3 linked regions of the Alligator mississippiensis genome follow. The protein of the gene in region 1 purifies or fractionates together with the protein of each later gene. This does not show direct contact. Links are inferred from orthologs where the notes say so. Each region holds a gene or a part of one and is shown in the gene's direction. Other genes may lie near its edges.

Region 1 (7,220 bases):
CTAATTTCATTTTTTCCCTTAATTGGCCGAACTCTTTTTAAGGTGAACTCTTCTTGGAAGCTATAACTTGTAATCATTATCTTAATGAGTCCTATTTGGGAGATTGATTGAAAGAAACACACAAGGAAATAAGAGAGAGAGTGAGCAGTGTTAGTCTGAAGTCAGGCAGCACGCAGGGCAGGGTGGCACCTTAGAGCACCTATGCATATGCCCGATGCCTGCTCCAACGCGTGCTAATTAGCACATTCCAGCAACCTTGGCATCCCACGTATTCTGTGTCCCTGCACTTCAAAATGGTGGTGGGAACACTTTAACTAAAGCTCGTTAAATGCACTATTTTGAAGTGCAGGATGCTGACTACACGAGACGCGGTGGGTGCTTTAATTAGAGTGGCTCCTGAGAGCCGCTCTAATTAAAGCACCCCCCACTCCCACCCTGGAGCACATGTAAAGGTGCCGTTAGAGATTAACTTGTTTAGAAATGCATAAGCTTCTGTAGGCCAACAGAAAAGCTTATGCATTTTGGAATGTGTTAGTTTCTAAGGGCTTAGTTACATGTTACCCTTACAATGTACTAAAGGCACTTAAAATGTGAGTGTGGGAGTGTTAAAGAAGGAAAACTGGTGCTAAGTGCAACCCTGCCCTGCCCACTGCCTGACTTCAGACAAACACTAGTAACTACCTCTCTTTTGTTTCTTGTGTCTATTTCTTTAAATCAATCCACCCAAGTAAGATTCATTAAGATACTGATACAGAAAGAAAAAGCAATGCTTATTTACGCGAATGCTGTGTGCCCCCGGAGCAGGCTACAGTGGCACTGTCAGCAGCAGGAGCATGGTGGTGGCAAGTGGGGAGCTCCCACAGGCAGTCGCAGCACTGTCGGTGGCAGGTGAGGGTGGCAAGCACCGACCAGCAGTTGGCGACCACCCTCAGATGCTGCTGCTGGTGGTGGTGGCAGCCAGCGGTGATCATGGACCACCTGCAGACACTGCCGGCGGTGTCGGTGGTAAGGGGGGGCAGGGTGGCGAGTGGTGACCCCCTACAGGTGCTGCCAGCAGTGACTGCCGTGCCTTTTTGCAGGGGGTGCACTGTGATACTGGGGGGGGGGGGGAGGGTGCATGTGCACCTGCTTATACACCCTACGCTTCGCCAATGCTTATTTACAGCAGTCTCTGGTTATGATCAAACTACATTTTAATTTGAATGGTCATTTGGATGAAAGTTCAATTAGCACCACTGATTGACTTCCATTTTCCTTGTGAGCTTGAATGAATTGAATTGAGCGGGAGTTGTGCTCTTAAGTCAACTATATGCTTATGAAAATCTCACCCTCTATCTTTGCTTTACTGTTTATGAAGAAATAAATATGAAAAACACATGCTTATGCATGTGACCATCATTAAAGGCAAGAAACACCTAAACAGGTGTGCTTCCTACATTGCAGCATCTAAGAAGTAAGCCTGAAAGTTATTGTGTTCTAGAGACAAACTATCAGACCCAATATTCTTTGTGACTCCAAGTTGTTCTAGAGAGAAATTAGTAGCTGTCACTCACTTTAACCATCAGGAATTTATGCCCTCATGCCCAACAGAAGTTCAGTCATGGCTCTTCCATTCCCACCTATCTTCTCTGGTGATATGTCTTGTTACCCCCAAATGCCTGAACCTCCCAGATCCTTCCAGCCTATGCATGAATTAAGGGCATTTTTTTAAAATTGCCCTTACTCTTCCGTGTAACTGCACACTATAAATCACAATCTAGCCCAGAGGTTCTCAACCTTTTTGGAGTGGATGCTCCCCTCACTGGGCTTAAGTCATCCCTCATTGGACTTGGGGAACCCCTCCATAACTTGTGTGAATTGTGTGGCAGCCAATTTCAAAAACTAATTTGTATATTACAGTCCTTACTTCTTTGCAGAGTGGCCAGACAGTAGGGGTGGGGGATCCGCCAGGCAAGAACAAGCTTGAGCCTGCACTTATCCGCTTATCTCCTCACTCCTCAGGGCACCCTTCAAAGGATTTGGTGGCACCCCAGGGTACCCCAGCACTCTGAGCATCACTGATCTAGACCAAAGTTAGCAAAGGAGATTCTTTAGCTATCCATAGGATCAATGGTTCCTGCTAGGTTTTGATTACTAGTTTGTGAATATAAACTTGTTTGCTAACCAATTTCAGCAATGGACAATTATTTTGCAGTTGAACCCAGAGTTCTAAGAATCACTCAGCATTGCTATTGATTCCACACATGTAATACTGGAAATGTTTTAATGAGGCCTGAACATTTTTTGGCCTTAAATAATAAAATGTTGTCAGGGGTAGGGCAACAGTGCACTCTTGTCTGAGTGTGGCTCACTGCACTCTTTTTGATGCAAGAGATTCTTTTAGGTGTAATACAGTTTATTGGAACTTTGGGAAAAAATCAAATTAGAAACTTAGCTTTTCTCACTCTCGCTAGAATTCTGTCAGCAGGAGGGATGCAATTTCAGTGGAAATTGTATCAGTCCCCCAGTACAGTGGAAGAGCTGAAATTGCACAGCACTCAAAGTAAAATTACAGACTCATTGACTAATTCATTTGTGGATAGAATCTTATGCAGATTCATTAGTATATCAACCAGAGCAAATTATGCACAACTAAAATTTATTTGTATGAATGCTTCTATTTCTCTAAAGGAGGATATTTCATAAAACTTCTGCCAACACTTATGTATCAACTACAGTAATCTTAAAAAAAACCCTTTTAATTAAGAAAGTAACATTCTATTCTTATACTTTATTTCTGGAGAGGAACCTACTGTCTGGAGCCTGTTTACATCACCCTGGTCTTATTAGATCAGTAATTACAACCAAATCCTGCAGGTGTTACTCTGATCATATCAATAGCATTGTTGCCTGAATAAATAGACCTGGATCTAGCCATTAGTAAGAAGAGGGTAAAATGTTCAATCTTACAGGAAATGACTTTATCATGGGGGACCAGGATTCAGGTAACTGAATCATAAGGGCTGTACTAGGCACATAGGGGTAATATATGAATTATATCAGATCTAAGGATATAGATGTTGCCATATACAGTCAGTGATCTAGTATCTGGGCACCTGGACCAGCTTGAGATAAGCTACATCCAGCTTACTGTATATGAACAAGGCCACCATGTGAATGCGTCAGAGCTCTTTGGGGAATTTTTGTTGAGGATTAGGTACAAGATTTTACCAAAACATGACTAGAGATTTTAAGCACCTCCATTTTTGTGGAGCCAATCAGAAATGCTCTTTTAGGTGGCAATGATTTTCAGAAAATCATGTGCATTCATCCTCTGAGGATCAAGACTCCTAAGGTGCCTCAAGCTTACACAGATTAAACTAGGAAGTTTCTTATCACAAAATACTGCCCTCTTCCTTGGGGATTTCCCAAAGTTTTGGCAGATTCCATGCACTTTCTTTAATATGAAATTATATCGGTCTTGAGAAGCAATTTCTACGACTTGCTGTTTTCCAGTTGACAGCCACATCTAACCAGCGAGTGAATTTCCCCAGAAGAATCTGTGAAGAAAATGTAGTGTATTCTTGGATTTTGCCGAGAAACTGTGGTACAAAGGATATGTTCTGTTTCCGATTGCTCCTGTCCTGGGCTCGTGGGATCATCAGAGACCTTCTTCTCATAGGGAGGCTCAGCAGCCTTCACCAACGAGCATCATTGCCCTTTGCGTTTGTTTACCGATACAAGTGCTTCCCGCCCATTTGGGAGCAAGGCAGCCCTCATTTGAATGAAGGCAGCCCTGGGACCGTGCCAGCTCCCAGCCTTCACTCTTTTTTTTTTTTGGACTACGGAAAAAAAAGGGAGCAATTCTGCTGCCAAGACCCCCGGAAGACACCTACGGGCCAGAATGGCGTTAACACTGTTTACAATTTTCACGTCAATCCTGCTTGCACACCCAACGCTGCGTGGCACCCCTGCAAGGAGCTCAGGTCACCCCTGGTTGAGAATCACTGCCCTACACCCTGCCCTGCCCCAGCCTGATCCGGCCAAATCACCAATAACCCCCTCTTCTCCGCTGCGGCCAGAGGCTGAGGCAGATCTCCGGCCAGAGGAAGGGCTGCAGGGCTCAGCACCCCCTGGCGCCCAGCGGGAGGGCGGGGCCTCGGCGGGCTAGGCCCCGCCCCGTATATAAAATAGCGGCGCTGCGGGCGGCGCGCGGGCAGTGGCGGCCTCGCAGGTGCGCAAGGCGGGTGGTGCGCGTCGGCCCCGAATTGCAGCGGCGGCAGCAGCGGCAGACGATGGAGCCCAGGCTGGCGTTGGCGCTGGTGCTGTGGCTCGGCATGGGCTCCCGCCTGGCTCCAGGTAGGGGCAGGGGCAGGGGCAGGGGCAGGGGCAGGGGCAGGGGCAAGGGCAGGAGACGAGCGGCAGCGATCGGCCCTGCCCCGAGGCGTGGGTGGGGAAGGGTGATGGCATGGGGCAGGGCAGAGCGAGCGCAGCCCCTCAGTGCCGAGAGCAGCCCCCGCAGCCCCAGAGCAGTAAGGTGGGTCCCCGGCTGGAGAAAAGTTTCCGAAGGGCTCGGTCAGACCCTGTGCCACAGAGCGGGGCAGCAGGGCTTCCCCCCGGTCCTTTCTCACTTGCAGCCTCCGGCACCTCTCGGAGTTCTGGCTGCGGGGCTGTGCCCGCACCCCACGCTCAGTCGCCCGATGCTCCGTTCCTCCCAGAACGTGTCCGATCCCTTTGCGGATCTGGCTGACCTGTCAGCGTCCCCCACGCCTGGTGGCAAGGAGCTCCACACCGGGGTGGCCGGCTGTGTGTGGATGGGACAAATGCACCGCACCTGTTTGGCTCAAAGATAAACGTTTTGAGCAGACAGACATTGCAAAGGGTGCACACATTAGTCTAAGGCCAGTACTTGCACGATTACTTGAGAAGTCATGCCTTTGAGTTGTTCTTCAAGCTTTACCACCACCGTGGGGTTTCTTAATGGCTACGTATGTGATCACGCCCGTTTCAACTGTCTCTTCTCCCTTGAGGTGCAAATGCTGCATTCAGTAGCTTAACACCAATGATCATCTAGGTAGTGGTTGGTTGTAGTTTGGCTATAGATCAGCATCACTAGCTCAATTCAGCTAGTAAATACTGATGGAGAAGTGTCTTAGTGTCTTGGCAGAGTAGGTTCTTTGTGTAAATGTGGTATCTTTTATTAGACCAACTAAATATTTGGAAAAATTGTTCTTTGCAAGCTTTCAGGCTCCAACACCCTTCTTCAGGCATAGGAAGAGTCTGCTGGTGCTGTATGTTCTCTGTGGTGAAAAAGAAGCCCCCGGTAACCCCTTTCCCTCCCACCCTCAAATCCACCCCTTCCAGAGGTTTGATGCTCTGCTATTTATTTCTATAACAGCTCTCCTTGAAGCCACTGGGGACTGCAGATGTGCATCTGAGGGCAGGGTTTGGCCTGGGCTCGTTTGTTTGCGATTACCTGGCAAATGGGATAGATGTAACATTAGTGCTGATGCTTATGATGAGGAAAAATAACTGCATGATACTTTACAAGAGAAAGCAAGCCAGCTTGTATCTCTAGTAGTGATGGTTTTCTAGAAGAAAGTGAAAATATGTGAAACTGGCAATGGAGAAGGCAGGGTTTGATCAGATTATAATAGAAATTCTGGGAAAATATTGTACATTACAGACATAGGCTTACCTTATTGTTACTAATACTAATCTAGTTGCCACTCATCTGAGCTGTGTCTTGTTAGACTTATTTTCTCTTTAGACAGCCCTTACCAAGAGAGAATTCCCAATAGGAGGGAGTATCGGAACCAGTGCTAGAAAGGTCTCTTTCTGTGCTATTTACAATGTTGCGCAAACTGCCTCACCAAACAGTTATCTAAGACTGAAGTGGAACTGATTTTGCAGCCCCTGTGACACAAGGATTCCCACTAAACACAATGGACACAATGGAACCACTCTCACAAATAAAATAGGAATAATTTTTCCCACGACAAAGGAAAAAGTGAGCAAGGAAAACAACAATAGCTCATATGACCTTGTGCATATGATGCATTCATAGAACCATAGAATCATAGAAAATTAGGGCCGGAAGGGACCTCAGATGGTCATATAGTCCAACCCCCTGCTCAAAGAAGGATCATCATTGCACAAAATGATTCCTGTTAGTATTTATTAATCAGCAGCCGTGGCAAATGTATACGTTCAGTTTATTGCAAGTAAAGTTGGTAGGCTTTTTCCCAAGGGAGTGAGATCATCAGATGAAGGTTCACTTTTTTTCAATGTCCCATATCCTCTTGTTAGACCTTGAAGTTGGCAATGCAAGAAAACAGGAACTCCACCCTAGCTTTATGAATTGTAGTGCTATTCTGCTAGCTCATGACCATCTGCCTATTCTTCCTGTTATGACAGATCTTGAACTTACTGGGATATGTGAAAAGTGATTATTTGCCTGCCACAGGTTAACACATTATGTAAAGGTGTTCACTTAAAATAGCCTATATGTACACTTTTATATTGTGCTTTTTCTTATCGAGTCTCACTGGCTTTTGGCTCATTCGTTTATTGATATTTCTGCAGGCCTGGATCAGCCAACCCTTAGCATCCAAAAAGATATCCTTACAGTAACTGCAAATGATACATTAAAAATTACTTGCAGGTAAGCTGATTTTCATTGTGTTAAAAGGGGCTATTTAAAGACTGTGGGACTGAATTTTACTGACATGGAGCAACTCCATAGCCAGTCTTGTCCTAATACTTCTCTGTAATTTGTTTTCCTAGTGGTCAAAGAACTGTGGAATGGTTTTGGCCTAACAATCAGAGCAGTTCTGAGAAACGTGTCACGGTGACAAACTGCGATGACAGCCTCTATTGTAAGATGCTCACTCTGACAAAAGTAATAAGTAATGACACTGGGGCCTACAAGTGCATTTACAAAGACAACCAGGCAAGCACCAGCATTTATGTCTATGTTCAAGGTAAGTGGTTAAAAGATTTCTACCTATTGGTAAGATAAAAAAGAAATGGAAGAGAGGTGTCTAGCTTTTCAGGCAGCTTTGCTCTGATTTAATATTCACTGCTTTGATCACAGTAAGGAAACATACTTGACAGATATGCATAAAAAATAGCATGTTAAGACTTTCAGCTTTAAAAGAAAGTAGGAGTCTCTGCACTTTCTTCTAAGGTTTCAAGAAAAATAAAAACACAAATATCTATCCATTTTTAATGGACAAATC
Region 2 (8,086 bases), on another chromosome or scaffold:
GCTGCAGAGTGATGAATCCTGGGCCTGTTCAGCACAGTGAAAGAGAAGGAAGGATGGAAAGAACAAGATGACCATCCTGGGAGCAGAGAGGAGGGGAGAGAAGTGGGGAGGGAGTGAGATGCCTAAAAAATGTTTGGAACCATGGCATGACTTCAAGAGGGGCACTGAGAAAGACAAAGTTAATGTGACAGAGAGCTTGAAGTACAAGGAATTGTGGGGATTCAAAATGGCTGCTGTTCCAGAATCTCTTTTGAGAGAGTGGTTGTACCTAATAAAAAAAACAAAAGTATGAAGTATGATGGGACCTTTCTATACGTGGTGGTAGCCTTTTCTGCTTCCCTGCATGAGCAGATATGGCCAAGAGGCAGACCCTCAGAACCTGATGTGAACTTTTTTTCAAAATGCCTCCCACCCTGCTATTTTGGATGTGAGATATGGCCTAGAGATGCAAAGCATCATGGGACTTTTGGAAACTGGCCAATGTGGCTTCCTACTCTCCGAACCCACTTTGGGAATGAACATGGCAAAGAGACGCAAAGCACTATTGGAACTCTTCAAATGGCCACTTCTACTTTCCCACCCAACCCCTGAGGGACTGGCCTGGCTATGAGGTGCAAAGCACCATGGGACTGTTTTCAAGATGGTGGCTGTGTTTTCCCCCACCTCAAGGGAACAGGTATGGCCAGCAGGTGCAAAGCACCATGGGACTGTGTTCAAGATGGTGGCTGCCTCTTTCCCCTCTCTTATTCCAGTTGATGTACTTTTAATCCATGCACATCCCATTAGACGTGGCAGTTTTGCGTAGCAATGTGTGACTTCCCAGTCCCCACGTGCGTGTCTGATCTCACAGTTGTATATCTCTGTCTGTGTGAGTGTGTGTGTGTATATGTACGTGTGTGTGTATATATATGTACACACATACACACCCACACATTATATATATCCGCACACACACATGCATATATATATATATATATAAATATATATATATATATTTACTTAAAACATTAAAAAGAGAAAAGGAAAAACAAGAAAGAGAGCTCTGGGGAAACACCCCAATGAAGTCCTCCATGCGCTCAGAACCCCGAACACACATTCTAATAATTTATATATAAAATATATATATGAAGCTCTTACAAACAAAATGAAACCCTTCCAGAAACGGACTCTGTGGTTTTCATTTAAGTGCCTGGGGGCCCTGGCAGCAAGCGAGGCACGCAGAGGCATGAAGGGCAGTGCCCCCTCTGCCCTGCCTGGCAGGAGGTGGAGTGAGCTGGTGATGAGGCACAGAGCCCCCTGTGGCGCCCTCCCCAGCACTAGGCCCGTGCTATTGATGGGGGCGCGTGAGTCCCCAGCTGCAAGGCCAGGCCAGAGAGGCCAGGAGCGTGCACCGCCGCACCTGGACTGGGAGGTAGGGGCAGGGGGCGGGGCCTCCAGCCAGTGCTGCCGAAACCTGCAGGGCGCGGACAGGCCGGGGGTGGAGCTTCGGGCCCCTGCTCCAATGGGAAGGCGGCTCATTTGCATGCCGGCGAACTCGCCCGAGCGCGGGCTGGAAGCCGAGCGCCGCGGCGCCAGCGAGGCGGGGGGGCGCGGGGAGCCGCCGCGGCGCTGCGGACATTTCCCGGGAGCGGCGGCTGCGTTTCAGGAGCCTTCCGCGAACCTGCGGAGTGGGTTTGCGACTCACAGCCGGAGTCACCCTAACCTGGGCGATACTCGGGCTGGGTGGGGGGTTCGGGGGGTTGTACACACTGGGCAGTGATTTCAGCTCTTTTAGTATTTGTCCAGCAGTCCCTCGCGTAGCGAGGGGCCCCAGCGCGTACAAAGGTAGTGGATTTTGGGAGGGGTTACGGCGCGGGGGCTTTATTGATCCGAGCGCTGTGCTCCGACCTGGCAGTGGCTCCTCCGCCCCTGCAGGCGGCGGTAGGTGCCTGAGGAGCCCGCGCCCTGCCTGCATGTCCAGCCTGCAGCGCCCCATGGCGGCCTCGGGCCCGGCCTCGGCGGCGCCGCTGAGCGCGGAGCAAGCCAAAGGTGAGCATCTCCCGTCCCCTCGCTCGGGGGCGGGCAGTGGCGGCGGGGCTGCTGGGTGCCGAGCCGCCCCCCACGCCTGTGCCCTGCCCGCAGTGGTGCTGGCCGAGGTGCTCAAGGCGTTCGGCGCCCCGGAGAACGCGCAGCGCCTGGATGAGGCGCGGGACAATGCCTGCAACGACATGGGCAAGATGCTGCAGTTCCTGCTGCCCGTGGCCACGCAGATCCAGCAGGACGTCATCAAAGCCTACGGCTTCAGCAGCGACGGGGAAGGTGGGGTCAGCCCCTGCCCGCTATCCCGCGTCACCAGGGGCACCCGGCTGCCGCTGGGCCTGGTGAATGGCGGCCTGGCAGAGGGCTGGCCCCTCAGCTCTGTCTCCCCCCACCCCCTTCTCTCTCTGTCTCTCAGGGGTCCTGAAGTTTGCCCGGCTGATAAAATCCTATGAATCTCAGGACCCAGAGATCGCCAGCATGTCTGGGAAGCTGAAAGCCATGTTCCTGCCACCCATGACGCTGCCTCCGCATGGGTCGGGGACAGGTGGGGTGGCAGCCTCATGAAGCTGGGACCCTGTCCAGCTCCAGCTGAGTATGAGGGCACTGGCTCCTGGCATCCCGGTCGGGCTGCGGTTGTCCAGCTGCAGGTGGGGCCCCAGGAGCCCCCAGTGCCTCGGAAGCTCAGAAGCTTCTTTGTGTGTCTGCGGCGTTGTGTTTTACGTGCCTGCATGAGACAGTGTGCTGCTTCTGCTTGTGAATAAAAGTTGTTTTAAGAGTGGTCCCATTGAGTCCCAGGGCTGTGTCCTAAGCTGTTTCCAATGGGTGATGATGAGGCAGAAGGGAGGTTTGCTTTCCTGCTCCTCCCTCAGCAGTCCTGCCCTGCTGTAGCTCTGCTGTGAGGGCATTCTGCCTGAGCCTGGTCCCAGGAAATGGAGAGGAGACAGCTCCCCCCCACGGTACAACCCTTCTGCCTGGGAGTAAAGACTTGGTACCTGGTGACTTTTGAAATAGAGTGCTATGGCTGCAGCACAAGGAATGCTTTTGTTCTGAGGGTAGAGCCAAGTGAAACCATTCAGGGGTGGAACAAGAAGTTCAGGGCTACGCGCCTAACCCCAGCCTGTCAAAGGGAAGGTGTGGGCACTGCAGCTCTGTATAGGCTAGGTTGTGTTAGAAGCAAATTAATAATCACTTAGCTATTTAACATGCTAGTGCAGACAGCACTTAACACAGTAAAGTGACACTATTGCTGAACGCAAGCGTTGAATGTGGTTCTAAATGTGTTAAGTTTCATAGATTTCATAGACATTAGGGCTGGAAGGGACCTCGGAAGATCATTGAGTCCAGCCCCCTGCCCAAAGGGCAGGAAGTCAGCTGGGGTCATAGGATCCCAGCAAGATAAGCATCCAGTTTGCTCTTGAAGGTGTTCAATGTAGGCGTTTGAACCACCTCCGGTGGCAGGCTGTTCCAGACCTTGGGGGCTTGGACAGTAAAGAAATTCTTCCTTATGTCCAGCCTGAAACGGTCTTGTAGTAGTTTATGACCGTTCAACCTAGTCGTCATCCCTTGGGGCGCTCTGGTGAACAAACGTTCCCCCACATACTGGTGGTCACTCCTGATAAACTTATAGGTGGCCATCAGATCACCTCTGAGCCTGCGCTTTTCCAGGCTAAAGAGCCCCAGGGCTCTCAGCCTGTCATCGTAGGGTCTGCTTCCCTGACCTCCGATCATGCGCGTGGCTGTTCTCTGGACTCTCTCAAGCTTCTCCACATCCTTTTTGAATTGTGGAGCCCAAAACTGGACGCAGTACTCCAGCTGTGGTCTCACTAAGGCCGAGTACAAGGGGAGAATGACATCCTGGGATTTGCTTGAGAAGCATCTATGGATGCAAGCCAGTGTTTTGGTCGCTTTACTAGCTGCAGCATCGCACTGCAGGCTCATGTTCATCTTGTGGTCAATGATGACCCCCAAGTCTCTTTCTTGCATAGTGTTAGCTAACATAGCACTGCCGAGCCTATAAGGATGCTACGGATTTTTCTTCCCAAGGTGGAGAACCTTGCATTTATCGGCGTTGAACACCATCAGATTCTCGTCCGCCCAGGTTTGACCTCATGAGATTCCCTTCCAGCCCTACTTTCTAATAAGATTCTAATGTGCCAGCAATGCAGAAGCATAAGATTACTAGGTGTAAATGACTGCAACTCAAAGTACTTTTCTGACCCTCATTTCAGGCTATTGCCACACAGCCATTACACCAGGGCCCAATCAAGTTTGGGCTGGCCAGATACACAGCAGCCAGGGCCTGCATGCCACACAGTTTGCAGGCCCTGGGCTGCACACCATACAGGCAGCATGCCCTGGGGGCCATGTGGGCACCTTGGGACCCCTGCCACATGAGCAATGCAAGTCTCCAGCTACTGCTGTGCCAGCTGCTCTGCTGCTGCCACCACATGGGCAAGAACCTCTGCCCCACAGCAGGGAATTCCCCCTTGCCAGAATCCAGCAGGCAGCATACTCCTTGCCATGCTGCCCTGCCCCAGAGAGTCCCACCAGCGTGGGAGGCATGTTAACCTCTCATGGGCCATCAACTGGACAGCTCTGTGCTGTTATGTTTCTTTAAAAGGTTAAAAGATCTAAAACTATGTTAGTTCAAATGTGTTGGTTAGAAGCTTCCTGAACTCAATTTATTCTTGTAACCTTTGCCCATGTTACAGGGGTCCACTGGCAGTGCACTGATGCCTACAGGGTAGCAGAAGATCTTATGCTGTAGCCAATGTTACCCTGCTGACATAGCCCTGGCATAGAGACAGAAGGCTGGGTGCAGAGGCGCTTAGTCCTGGTGGCCAGAAAAACTCCTGCAAGCAAAGCTGTATCTACACTAGGGGACCCTGTTGTTTTGTAGCTGCTGCTATACTTAATGTGTAGATCACGCCCTGGTGTAATGGCTAATGTGTGGCAATAGCCTGAAATGAGGGACAGAAAAGTACTTTGAGTTGCAATCGTTTACACCTAGTAATCTTATTCTTCTGCATTGCTGGCACATTAGAATCATATTAGAAAGTAGGGCTGGAAGGGAATCTCATGAGGTCATCTAATCCAGCCCCTTGCTCAAGGCAGGATCATCCTTGACTAAACATCCCAGCCAAGTGTCCATCTAACCTCTTAAAAATTTCCAGGGATGAAGATTCCACCGTTTCTCTAGGTAGCCTGTTACAATGCTTGACTACCCTCATAGTCAGAAAGTTCCTCCTCATCTTCAACCTAAATTTCCTCTGCTGCAGTTTGAGGTCTTTGCTCCTAGTTCTGTCCCCTACAGCCATAAAAAAGTCCATTGCCAGCCTTGTTAGGATCCCCTGTCAGGTATTTGAAGAATGTTATCAACCGCTCCCCTCACCCTTGACCCACAGTCTTCTCTTCTCCAGACTAAATAACCCTAACTCTTTCAGCCTTCCCTTATAAGGGCCTTGCCACACCTTATGGTGAGAGCTACACAAAGGTTGATCAGCATTAGTGCTAGCCTGGAGCTGTGACAAGAGGCCTGGTGAGCAGGGGCAGGACTAGGAGCTGTAGCTGTGAGCTGCCACAAGAGGGCTTGTGAGCCAGGGTAGGATTTTAATTCTGCTGTATGGGTAGGGGTATGAGAGATCCTGGGATACTGGAGGACTTCAGTTTGGGCAGCACATCTGTGGAGAGTGGCCACACCTTCATGGAACATTAATCCCATGAGGTTCAACAAGGACAAGTGCAAAGTCCTGCACTTTGGACAGAACAATCCCATTTACCAGCGCAGGCTGGGGGCTGACTGGCTGGGCAGCAGCTCTGCAGAAAAGGACCTGAGGGTTACAGTGGACAATAAGTTGAATATGAGCCAGCAGTGTGCCCTTGTTGCCAAGAAGGCTAACGACATACTGGGCTGCATTGGTAGGAGTGTTGCCAGTAGGTCAAGGGAAGTGTTTATTCCCCTCTATTCAGCACTGGTGAGGCTACAGCTGGAGTACTGTGTCCAGTTTTGGGCCCTCCACTACAGAAAGGACAAATTGGAGAGAGTGCAGCAGATAGAAACAAAAATGGTGAGGGGGCTGGGCACATGACTTATGAGGAAAGACTGGGGGAACTTGACTTATTTAGTTTAGAGGAGACTTAATAGCAGTCTTCAACTCCCTGAAGTAGGTTCAAAAGAGGATAGAGCTAGGCTGTTCTCAGCAGTGGCAGATAACAGAACAAGGAGCAACAGTCTCAAGTCACAACAATGATCACAGCAAGGGAAGTTTAGGTTAGATATTAGGAAGAATTTTCTCACTAGGAGGGTAGTAAAACACTGGAACAGGTTACCCAGAGAGGTGGTGGAAGCTCCATCCTTGGGAGTTTTAAAACCCGGCTAGACAAAGCCTTGGCTGGGATGATCTAGTTGGGGCTGGTCCTGCTTTGAGCAGGGAGTTGGACTAGGTGACCTTCTGAGGTCCCTTTCAACCTTCACCTTCTATGATTCTGTGATTCTAGGAGCTGGGTAGTGTGGATCAGAAATAATCCTGCCCTGGAGTGGCATAACTTTGAGCCACAAAACCGTGCTTAAAACCGCTTTAAGATGTTAACATGTGGGGACAACCCAGGGGTTAAGAGCTCCAGGAGCTGCCCAAATTACTGTGTAACAAGACCCTAAGTCATGTTTCTCAGGCCCTTGCTCATTTTTCTTATCCTGTGCTGCATGAACAATGCATGCTCCCCGTGGCGCGGGGGGGCACAGTGGCAGCAGCAGGAGCATGGCAGTGGTTAGCGGGAGAGCTCCTGCAGACGCTGCTGGTGCTGTCGGCAGTGGTGGCGGGGGAGGTGGCGAGTGCTGACCAGGGGTCGGCAACCACCCGCAGACGCCGCTGGCAGTGTTGGTGGCGGCCAGAGGGAATCACGGAGAGCTGCACCTTTTTGTAGGGGGTGCACCACCATGCTCAGGGGGTGCATGTGCATCTGTGTGCACCCCCTACGCATCACCCCTGCTGTGCTGGACTCTTTCTAAACTGTTCACATCTTTCTTGAAGCATTGGGCCCAGATCTAGAAGGCTTCAGCAGCACCAAACAGAACAGAGGAATCACTTCCCTTGATTTGCAAATAACACTCCTGTTAATACAACCTAGTAGGCTGTGATCTTTTTTGCAACAAGGGCACATCGTTGGCTCATGTTTAGTTTATAGTCCACTGTAACCCCCAGGCCCTTCTCAGCAGCACTGCAGTCTAGCCAGTCATTCCCCAGTCTGTATGTGCAATTATTCAGTCCAGTGGTGGCGCACACGGGGTGCACATGCACCCCCTGAGAGTGCTGGTGGACCCCCTGACAGGCCACATTCCCTGCTTAGGTGGCAGGCAGGGGGGCAGGTGGGAGCGCCAGTACCCCCCTGCAAGCACCACAGCCACTTCTGGGAGCACTTGATGAAGTGCCATGGCCACTCCTCCCCCCACCCCCGATGCCCCTAAGGTGGCACCAGTTGCCCATGATTCAGTCCTGGACACAGGACTTTGCACTTGTCCTTGCTGCATTTCATCTGATGTTGTTAATTTCCAACATTTAAAGTGAGGAAACAGCAAATGTCTTTGGACTCTTTTCAACCCTGGAATTCAAATGTGCACGTGAGCAGCTTTCAGTAGGGGTAGCTGCAGGTCAGGACTGGAGGCATAGGCAGAGCAGTGTTTGTGGAGGCCAGGACTGCAAGGGAAAAGAGTCAGAAGTCTGGTAAGTTCCCAGGTGATCAGAGCTATTCACTTTTGTTTTCTCTGCCTTTCAGTTACAAATAGTCAAGGAAGTACTTAGTGGAGAGGAAGCAGGAAGAGCAGATAGTTCCTCACCTCTTCACCTGCCCCCTCAGTTTAAGCCTGTTCTTCCCCTGCTCCCCATGCACCTCAATTATTCATTAACTACAAATCAGGAAGTGATTTACAGATGGTGGAAAGGAAGCCTCTTGCCCTGCACCTGCACCTGGCTGCCTGATCTTGGGTCTCCTCCTCCTGCTGCCCAACCCCCAACAACAGTGATCTATCCTCTGAGGACATCCAAGGCTGGTGAGGTAAGTTGATCACCAA
Region 3 (6,986 bases), on another chromosome or scaffold:
GTTCTATGGCCAGGTTGTCGGCGACTAAACTGGCACCCCAACCTGGGCTAGTCTGGGTGAGGAGGGATGTGGACACCCAGCGAACTAAAAACAAGGCCTGTCAAAGGGCATGAGATCCCTGTGAGCCAAATGTCATCCATGCCTGGAGAGGAGATGAGCACCACCAGATCACTTTGCCCAAAGAATCACCGATGATGCAGAGCAACTCAACTAACCTCAGAGTGGAGGATGAGAGGAGACTCAGGCTGCGGCAGCAGCAATTTTATCCAGTGCTGGATGCAGCCTGTGCCCAGTGCCAGTCCCTGATGGGATAGGCAGCCTGAGCCTCCTTTCATCCGGCATGCAGATCCAAGGGCTCGGACCTCCGGGAGGAGGCTGGCACAGCCCAGCAGCCCTCCCAGGGGTGCAAGCCCCCGGATCTGCACCCCAGATGAAAGGAGGCTCAGGCTGCCTATCCCATCAGGGACTGGCACTGGGCACAGGCTGCATCCAGCACTGGATAAAATTGCTGCTGCCGCAGCCTTAGTCTCCTCTCATCCAGCACAGATCTGGGGGCTCGCACACCTGGAGTCCAGCACAGCCCTGTAGCCCTCCCAGGGCTGTGAGCCCCTGGATCTGCACCCCAGATGAGAGGAGGCTTCCCCTTCCACCTGGGACCGGTGCTGGGCAGCCTGAGTCTCTCCTCATTCAGCGTGAAGATCCGGGGGCTCGTACCCATGGGAAGAGTCTGGCACAGCCTGGCAGCCCTCCCGGGGGTGGAAGCCTCCAGATCTGCACCCCAGATGAGAGGAGGCTGCCCTGTCACCTGGGACCAGCGCTGGGTGCAGGCTGCACCCACCACCAGAGAAAATTGCTTCTGTCACTTGTCTGAGGAGGAAGGCAAACAAAGCCAGTGCTGTGCTCCATGGGGCTGGCAGAACAGATCAGAGCCCAGCAGCAGGAGGCAGGCAGAGTGGGGCTGGGCCCCGTGGGGCTGGCGGAGCCGACTGGTGCACAGCCTGGCAGTGGGAGGCGGGGAGAGCCGGCACTGCACTCTGATCAGGTCCGCCAGTTCCATGGAGCGCAGCCCAGTAGCAGGAGGTGGACAGAGCCAGTGCTGTGCTCCACCTCCCACTGCCAGGCTGAGCTCCATGGGGCTGGCAGAGCTGATCGGAGCATAGCCCAGCAGCGGGAGGTGGGCAGAGCCGGCGCTGCACTCCATTCAGCTCCGCAGCCCCACGGAACACAGTCCAGTGGTGGGAGGCGGGCAGAGCTGGGGCTGTGCTCTGTGGGGCTGGTGGAGCCAGCTGGTTCTGCCCACCTACCAGCGCCGAGCTGTACTCAATGGGGCTGGCTGAGCCGAGCAGAGCGCAACCCAGAGGTGGGAGGTGGGTAGAGCTGGCGCTGCCCTCTGGTCAGCTCCACCAGCCCCACGGAGCACAGCCCAGTGGTGGGAGGCAGAGAGAGCCAGGGCTGCGCTCCCCGCTGGGCTGAGCTACATGGGGTTGCGGAGCCGCTCGGAGCACAGCCCTGGCTCTCCCCTGCCTCCCACCACTGGGCTGCTTCGAAACTCGAAACATTTTGAAACTTGCAAAAGATTTTGAGTGCCTTCGTTTCATTTCAAAACTGTTTTGATGCTTTTTGTTTCATTTCAATTTCACTGTTTCAAGCTCAAAATGTGTCAAAACAGCTTCGAAACAAAACACTTGGCGAAATTTTGCACAGCCCTAGTTGTTACAGCATCTAAAGTGCCCCAATGATCCCAGTGGCCTCAAGACTGACTTGACAAAAAATTGGCTGATCCAAATCATGGATCTCAATGCTGCCTTTCAGACCTATTGTTCTAGTACATGCATGGGAAGAAAGACCTGGATGATCAAATCTAACTAACAACCAGGTTGTTACAATGGGACTCATTCATAGCCCATAAAGGCAAAGAAAAATCATTACACGCTTTATATCAGGCTCTAAGGTCCTTAAGTTGATAGAACAGCAATCCAACTGTATGCACTTGCAGAACTAAAGAGCACCATTGTAGAAGATGCATATATTTTTTAAATCAAGGAACATGAGCTCTCTTTTCTTTTCCCCATTCTTGGTTTAGGCTAGCTAACAAGCATGTTTTCTCCACAGATACCAAGATCAAAGGACGTCAGTAGTCAAACACACTTGAAATCATTTGCAAAAGTAAATGATATCTAGGATTGTTGTCTGCCCTGGGTACCAGCCTATCCTCCACAGATAACTACAGTTCACTGGGAACCTCCCAGCAATATCCTTTCCATTTCTCCCTCTTCTTTTTCCTCAGCAATGAAATAGGAGCGGCTTATTTTATTGCAAGGAAACTTAATTGTAATCAGTCTCCTTAAAAAAAGGTTTTGAAAAATGTCCCCTCATTAGTTGCTTAACCTTCCTGAATAATTAATGTATCAAAATTTTAAAACAGTCATTTGTCTTTGCTGCTGCATGTCATAAAAATGTGCAGTAATGTAACCAAAGCTCAGTCTTCTGGAAAGCTAGGAAATCAATCCCATTACCTGTGCTAAGTCATGATGAAGAATAGGGGTGAGAGTACTTAACTCTGGATCATTATTATTTAAAGCCTTCCGTAAGAAATGTCACCAAATGTGCAACATACATCACAATGTGGTGACAACACCTCAAAATTAGTTGGGTTTTGTTTTTTGGTTGTTTGGGGTTGTTGGGGTTTTTTTGTTTTTTGTTTTTTTGTTTGTTTGTTTGGGGGGGGGGGGGTTGACTCGTGTTTCTTAGACTTTCTCCTGAATTAGTCAATTTAAAATTTCCTCCTCCTTTAAACATACAAAATAGTGTATAGACATTCTTTGTTTTTAAGCTGCAGCAAAAGTAAAGCATGTTCTGCTGTTCAAAAGCAGGATCACAGCATTCTGCCTGAGCTGTAGGAAGGCCCATCTGCTTATCATGCTGAGCTCACTGGTCTATATCCTACCTTAAATTTCAAGAATTTCAACACTCATTGCAGTCACTGAGGCCAAAATTAAACCCTCATTGGTCTGCAATTAAACAGCAAATCAAGCTGGCTAGCATAACACAAGCTCTCCTCTTGGAACATTGATCTTTTCCCCTTTCCTCTCTCCCAAAAATTCCTCCACTTGAAAATTTCTAATACAATGAAGGCAATACATGTTATTCAGTGATTCTTCTCCTAAGATTTTTTGTTTGTGAATCTTGGGGCCCAACTCTCTACTGCCTTACATCTTGGGTCATCACTTCCACTTCTGGAATAGTCCATAAAATCTAAACAGTGTTTTGTCTACCATGCACAGGTTGGGATCATTACATAAAGTGCAAGGCAAAGAAGTTGGCACTGGGCTGGAGACTTGCAACCAATTTCTGTTCTCTGATTTGCTGAAGCCAGATCTATCAAATCTGTACAGCTGTTACCAAGACCAGCATGCGGCTCATCCCAGAATTTCAATATATCCCAGTCCTCTCACACTAGCAAAGATTGGCTCTTAAACTTTTTATAAGAACTCCTGTTTGATGGACTTTCAGCCTTTGTGGGTGGTGGAATAATCCTGGTGGAGAGACGAAAACACTCCCATCTGCCTGATGGGAAAACAAATCTGAAAATAAGCCGGAGACCATACTCTTCAAATAGTGAGAATAAAAATAAAAACAAGTGCTAAGTTAGGATTTTTAATAACCCCTAAAATGAAAATGATCAGTAAGAAAGATACTAAATAACAGCACTGGCTTTATATTACTCTTACAGGCCATTTCCTTTTATTCAGATATGTATTTGTTACACCCTCTGAAAGGCAAGTCTAGCAAAATGACTCTAAGTTTATCTTGTTTCCTCCACTCCCTTTTCTCACTGGCATTACTAAGGTTTGTAACAATAACAGGATGCAGGGATGCAGGATGGGAAAAGCTGACCCCCAGCTGGGAAACCTTGGAGACTGGAAAGCTGAACACTCCCAGTATTACCTAGTGAAATTAAATCCTGATTTTATATCTGTTCCTCACTCTCCGAGTGGTGCTCATGATTTCTGGATATTGTTCATTTCATGTTCTTAATTTGGGATAAAACTGAAGCTTCACCAACTCCTGGGGATCAGGTAAGGGACAGAGGATATTATTACTTTTAATTTCAAGAATTTTTCCTCCCAGATAGCTGACACTTTGGAACTGGCTTGAAGTTATTTGATGATTCTGAAGTTCATGTTCTGCATGTTAGATGTATTTAGAGCACCCTTGGGGCCCAGTATCGCTGGCAGAATAACTATTGACACCAATGGAGTTACTGCCAATTAACACTGAAGTGAGAGGAGAATCGGTTTCTCTACATCTGCATCTAATGGTCCCAGACTGTGAAGAATATTTAGACTCAAAGAAGTGATTCTTTTGGTTCAAAATGATCAAATTATGCTGCCAGTAGATGTTTTCAATAAAACAGAAAAACAGAAATCAATGCAACAAATTGCACTTGGGGACCCTTTAAGAAGGGATTCCAGTTGCATTACAGACAGCAATAGGCTTGATATTTTGTCATTGAACTAGAATACACGATGTTATATCTTGCTTTTTTTAGACATAAACATATTGGATGAAGGTTGCATAGGTCCTTGGCATTCTTTTTCTGTTCAAAATGAAATAGTGGAATTGTAGTACGGTTGGAGCTAAGAACCAAAGGATAGCACCTCTTATGTTCATTGGCTGCCACTAGGCAGATCTGTATGACAGGAGGTTCACTTTTAAAGACTTAGTGACATTTTCAAAAGCAGCTAAGTGACTTATGCTCCTAAGTCTTATTTTCAAAGTGAATCATGCATTTTAGGAGCCTGATCTCCACTAACTTTCAATGAAACTAAGGCACCTAATTGGTTTAGGCACTTTTGAAAATGTTACCTTGGATCATTCAAGTTGTATGACACTCATTTAACAACTAGGGGAAAAACCTCATAGATTTCTCTAGGAAACCTCTGGCTTTCAGCTGTCCAAATTTACCATGTTTTCTGGTAAGTTATTTCATGAAGAAAGCCGTGACACAAGACATCAGTTGAAAGGGTTTTTATGCTGCCATAAGCATATAATGTTTTACACAGGAGATCCCTTGACTAACAAGTTTGCAAAGACAAATGTTTATGAATAAGAGATGAATAAATGCATCTTTTTGGGTTGAAATTATAGTCCATGCGTCAGGAGATATAGTGCCTTACTGTGCTGTGTTTAATGCTGTATAAAGAAAAGGAAAAAATGAAGGCTTCAGGAAAAAGACAGAATAGGTTGAACTTTTGTGAGAAAACCTGAAGAAGTCTCAGCTATTCAAAGCATTGAAGTTGGCTGCTACTGAAGTTAACTTAAGTAGGATTATTTGATTCATTTCTGCCTCTTCTGATTATAACTGCTGATATTATAGTAGTTGTTATTTACATTTATAAAAGCACCTACCCTGTGATTCCTTGTGGGGAAAATTTAGGAAAATCTATTAACAGAAGCAACTCAAGATATATACAAAATCTTAACATGTTAATTAATACTATGAATCAAAACAACTAATACGGCAATACAAATGCTTGCTTTAAAAAGGTTTGGTATCTTTAAGGGTGGCTTTGAATCCTGAAACAAGGGGCAAACTAAAGAAGAAAAGGACATAAGGCTAGGTTTCTTCTGTTTCCGTTCCCCACAACCTACTGAGAACAGTCAAAGAGGTTGCATGCAATAAAACAAATGAACTGGAATACAAAAAATAAACTCTCAGTACTCTGATGCTAATCTGAGCTCTGTATGGAGTGCTCAGATTTATTTGGCTTTGGAAATGTAACTGCACTGCAAACTGAAATATTTTTCAGCTGATGCTTTCCATTTTATAACAATAGTACTTCAACATTATGTTAAAACCTTCATTTCAATATTTAAAATGCAAATTGAGTCACAACAGATCTATTTCATTGAATAATCTGGATATTTTGTATAGGAACAAAAGCTAGGTTCAATACCCAAGGAGAAGTAGATGCAGAGAAATTTTCATTTAAATAGTTAATAGCTTTGAAAAATATTTGCCAAAAGAACATGCCTGTCTCATATCCTGCTTTTGTTGAGAGGAATAGAGCAGCTCAAAACAGGATATAAGTACATGGATTTGTATACTTTCTATCTCAGAAGCTCATCTGGTTTATAGCCCTTACCAAGATAGACTATAAGAATATAAATTAATATTCAAAAGAGAATACTTTCCCTTTTCAAAAGAAAAAGAGAGAAAAAAATCATAGAAATACCTTTTGTTGTCAGGTTACTTATCTAAAACACTTAAAGCAAGCAGATAGTGCATTATTTTTGTGGAAGGGAAAGCCTATTAATGTTTAGTTATGACATATTTTAAAAGTGATTAATCAATATGATTACTGTAGCCATCTTTTCATCATTTTGGTTTCTAGAAATTTATTTCAGAAAGGTCCAAATTGTAATGGCAAGCAGGAAAAGAAAAAAAATCTCTCCTGCTAACTTCATGAGATATCTGTGTTAAGTGGGAATATTTCAAGCTGGGTAAAAAACATAAGATTGACAGGGTACTTTCCATTCTTCTTTCCTGGATGTTTAAAATGAGATGAGCCCTAATAGTTTATCACACAACGCATGCTGGGATGATTAGTTTTCTTCCTGCACTATTATGTGTCAGAAACTGGTTATTTGTACAAATTGGAGATTTGCCAAGCTACAGAGGGGGAAGATTTGTAAAGGCACAAAAAGACACTCAGAAACCCAATTCACATCAACTCAAAGTGGCAGTTGGGCTCTTACCTCCCACTGATGCCTTTGAAAAAGTCCCTCCAGAATCAGACTTGTATGTGAATATCAAAAACACCCTGCTTAGGTCTAGACCCCAAATTTAGTTTGGCTCACTACTAAGAGAAGAGGGTGTTTGCTCAGCGCTGCTGTACAATCAGGTTAATAACTTCTAGTGGTGTTGTGGAGTCAACAAGCCTGGTGGACCTGCCCTAGGACCCTTTCGGCTGCAAACAGAA

Evidence for each region.
Region 2: the proteins of KDR (region 1) and PTPN6 purify together in Homo sapiens (affinity purification with western blotting; 3 studies listed by BioGRID and IntAct, with this or other methods). This does not show direct contact. The link is inferred for Alligator mississippiensis from reciprocal best matches to the Homo sapiens genes KDR and PTPN6.
Region 3: the proteins of KDR (region 1) and CDH5 purify together in Homo sapiens (affinity purification with western blotting; 3 studies listed by BioGRID and IntAct, with this or other methods). This does not show direct contact. The link is inferred for Alligator mississippiensis from reciprocal best matches to the Homo sapiens genes KDR and CDH5.

The regions. Positions count from the first base shown.
Region 1 is NC_081825.1:60,199,134-60,206,353, reverse strand, and holds the start of KDR (vascular endothelial growth factor receptor 2), read left to right. Parts: upstream 1-4,207; 5' UTR 4,208-4,274; coding exon 4,275-4,338; intron 4,339-6,564; coding exon 6,565-6,643; intron 6,644-6,765; coding exon 6,766-6,962; intron 6,963-7,220. UniProt on the Homo sapiens protein: Tyrosine-protein kinase that acts as a cell-surface receptor for VEGFA, VEGFC and VEGFD. Plays an essential role in the regulation of angiogenesis, vascular development, vascular permeability, and embryonic hematopoiesis.
Region 2 is NC_081824.1:244,116,597-244,124,682, forward strand, and holds the start of PTPN6 (tyrosine-protein phosphatase non-receptor type 6), read left to right. Parts: upstream 1-5,084; 5' UTR 5,085-8,070; intron 8,071-8,086. Other genes in the region: ATN1 (atrophin-1), read left to right, coding at 1-40; C1H12orf57 (protein C10), read left to right, coding at 1,523-1,667, 1,915-2,028, 2,122-2,298, 2,435-2,583. UniProt on the Homo sapiens protein: Tyrosine phosphatase enzyme that plays important roles in controlling immune signaling pathways and fundamental physiological processes such as hematopoiesis.
Region 3 is NC_081833.1:63,086,114-63,093,099, reverse strand, and holds the start of CDH5 (cadherin-5), read left to right. Parts: upstream 1-3,896; 5' UTR 3,897-4,079; intron 4,080-6,986. UniProt on the Homo sapiens protein: Cadherins are calcium-dependent cell adhesion proteins. They preferentially interact with themselves in a homophilic manner in connecting cells; cadherins may thus contribute to the sorting of heterogeneous cell types.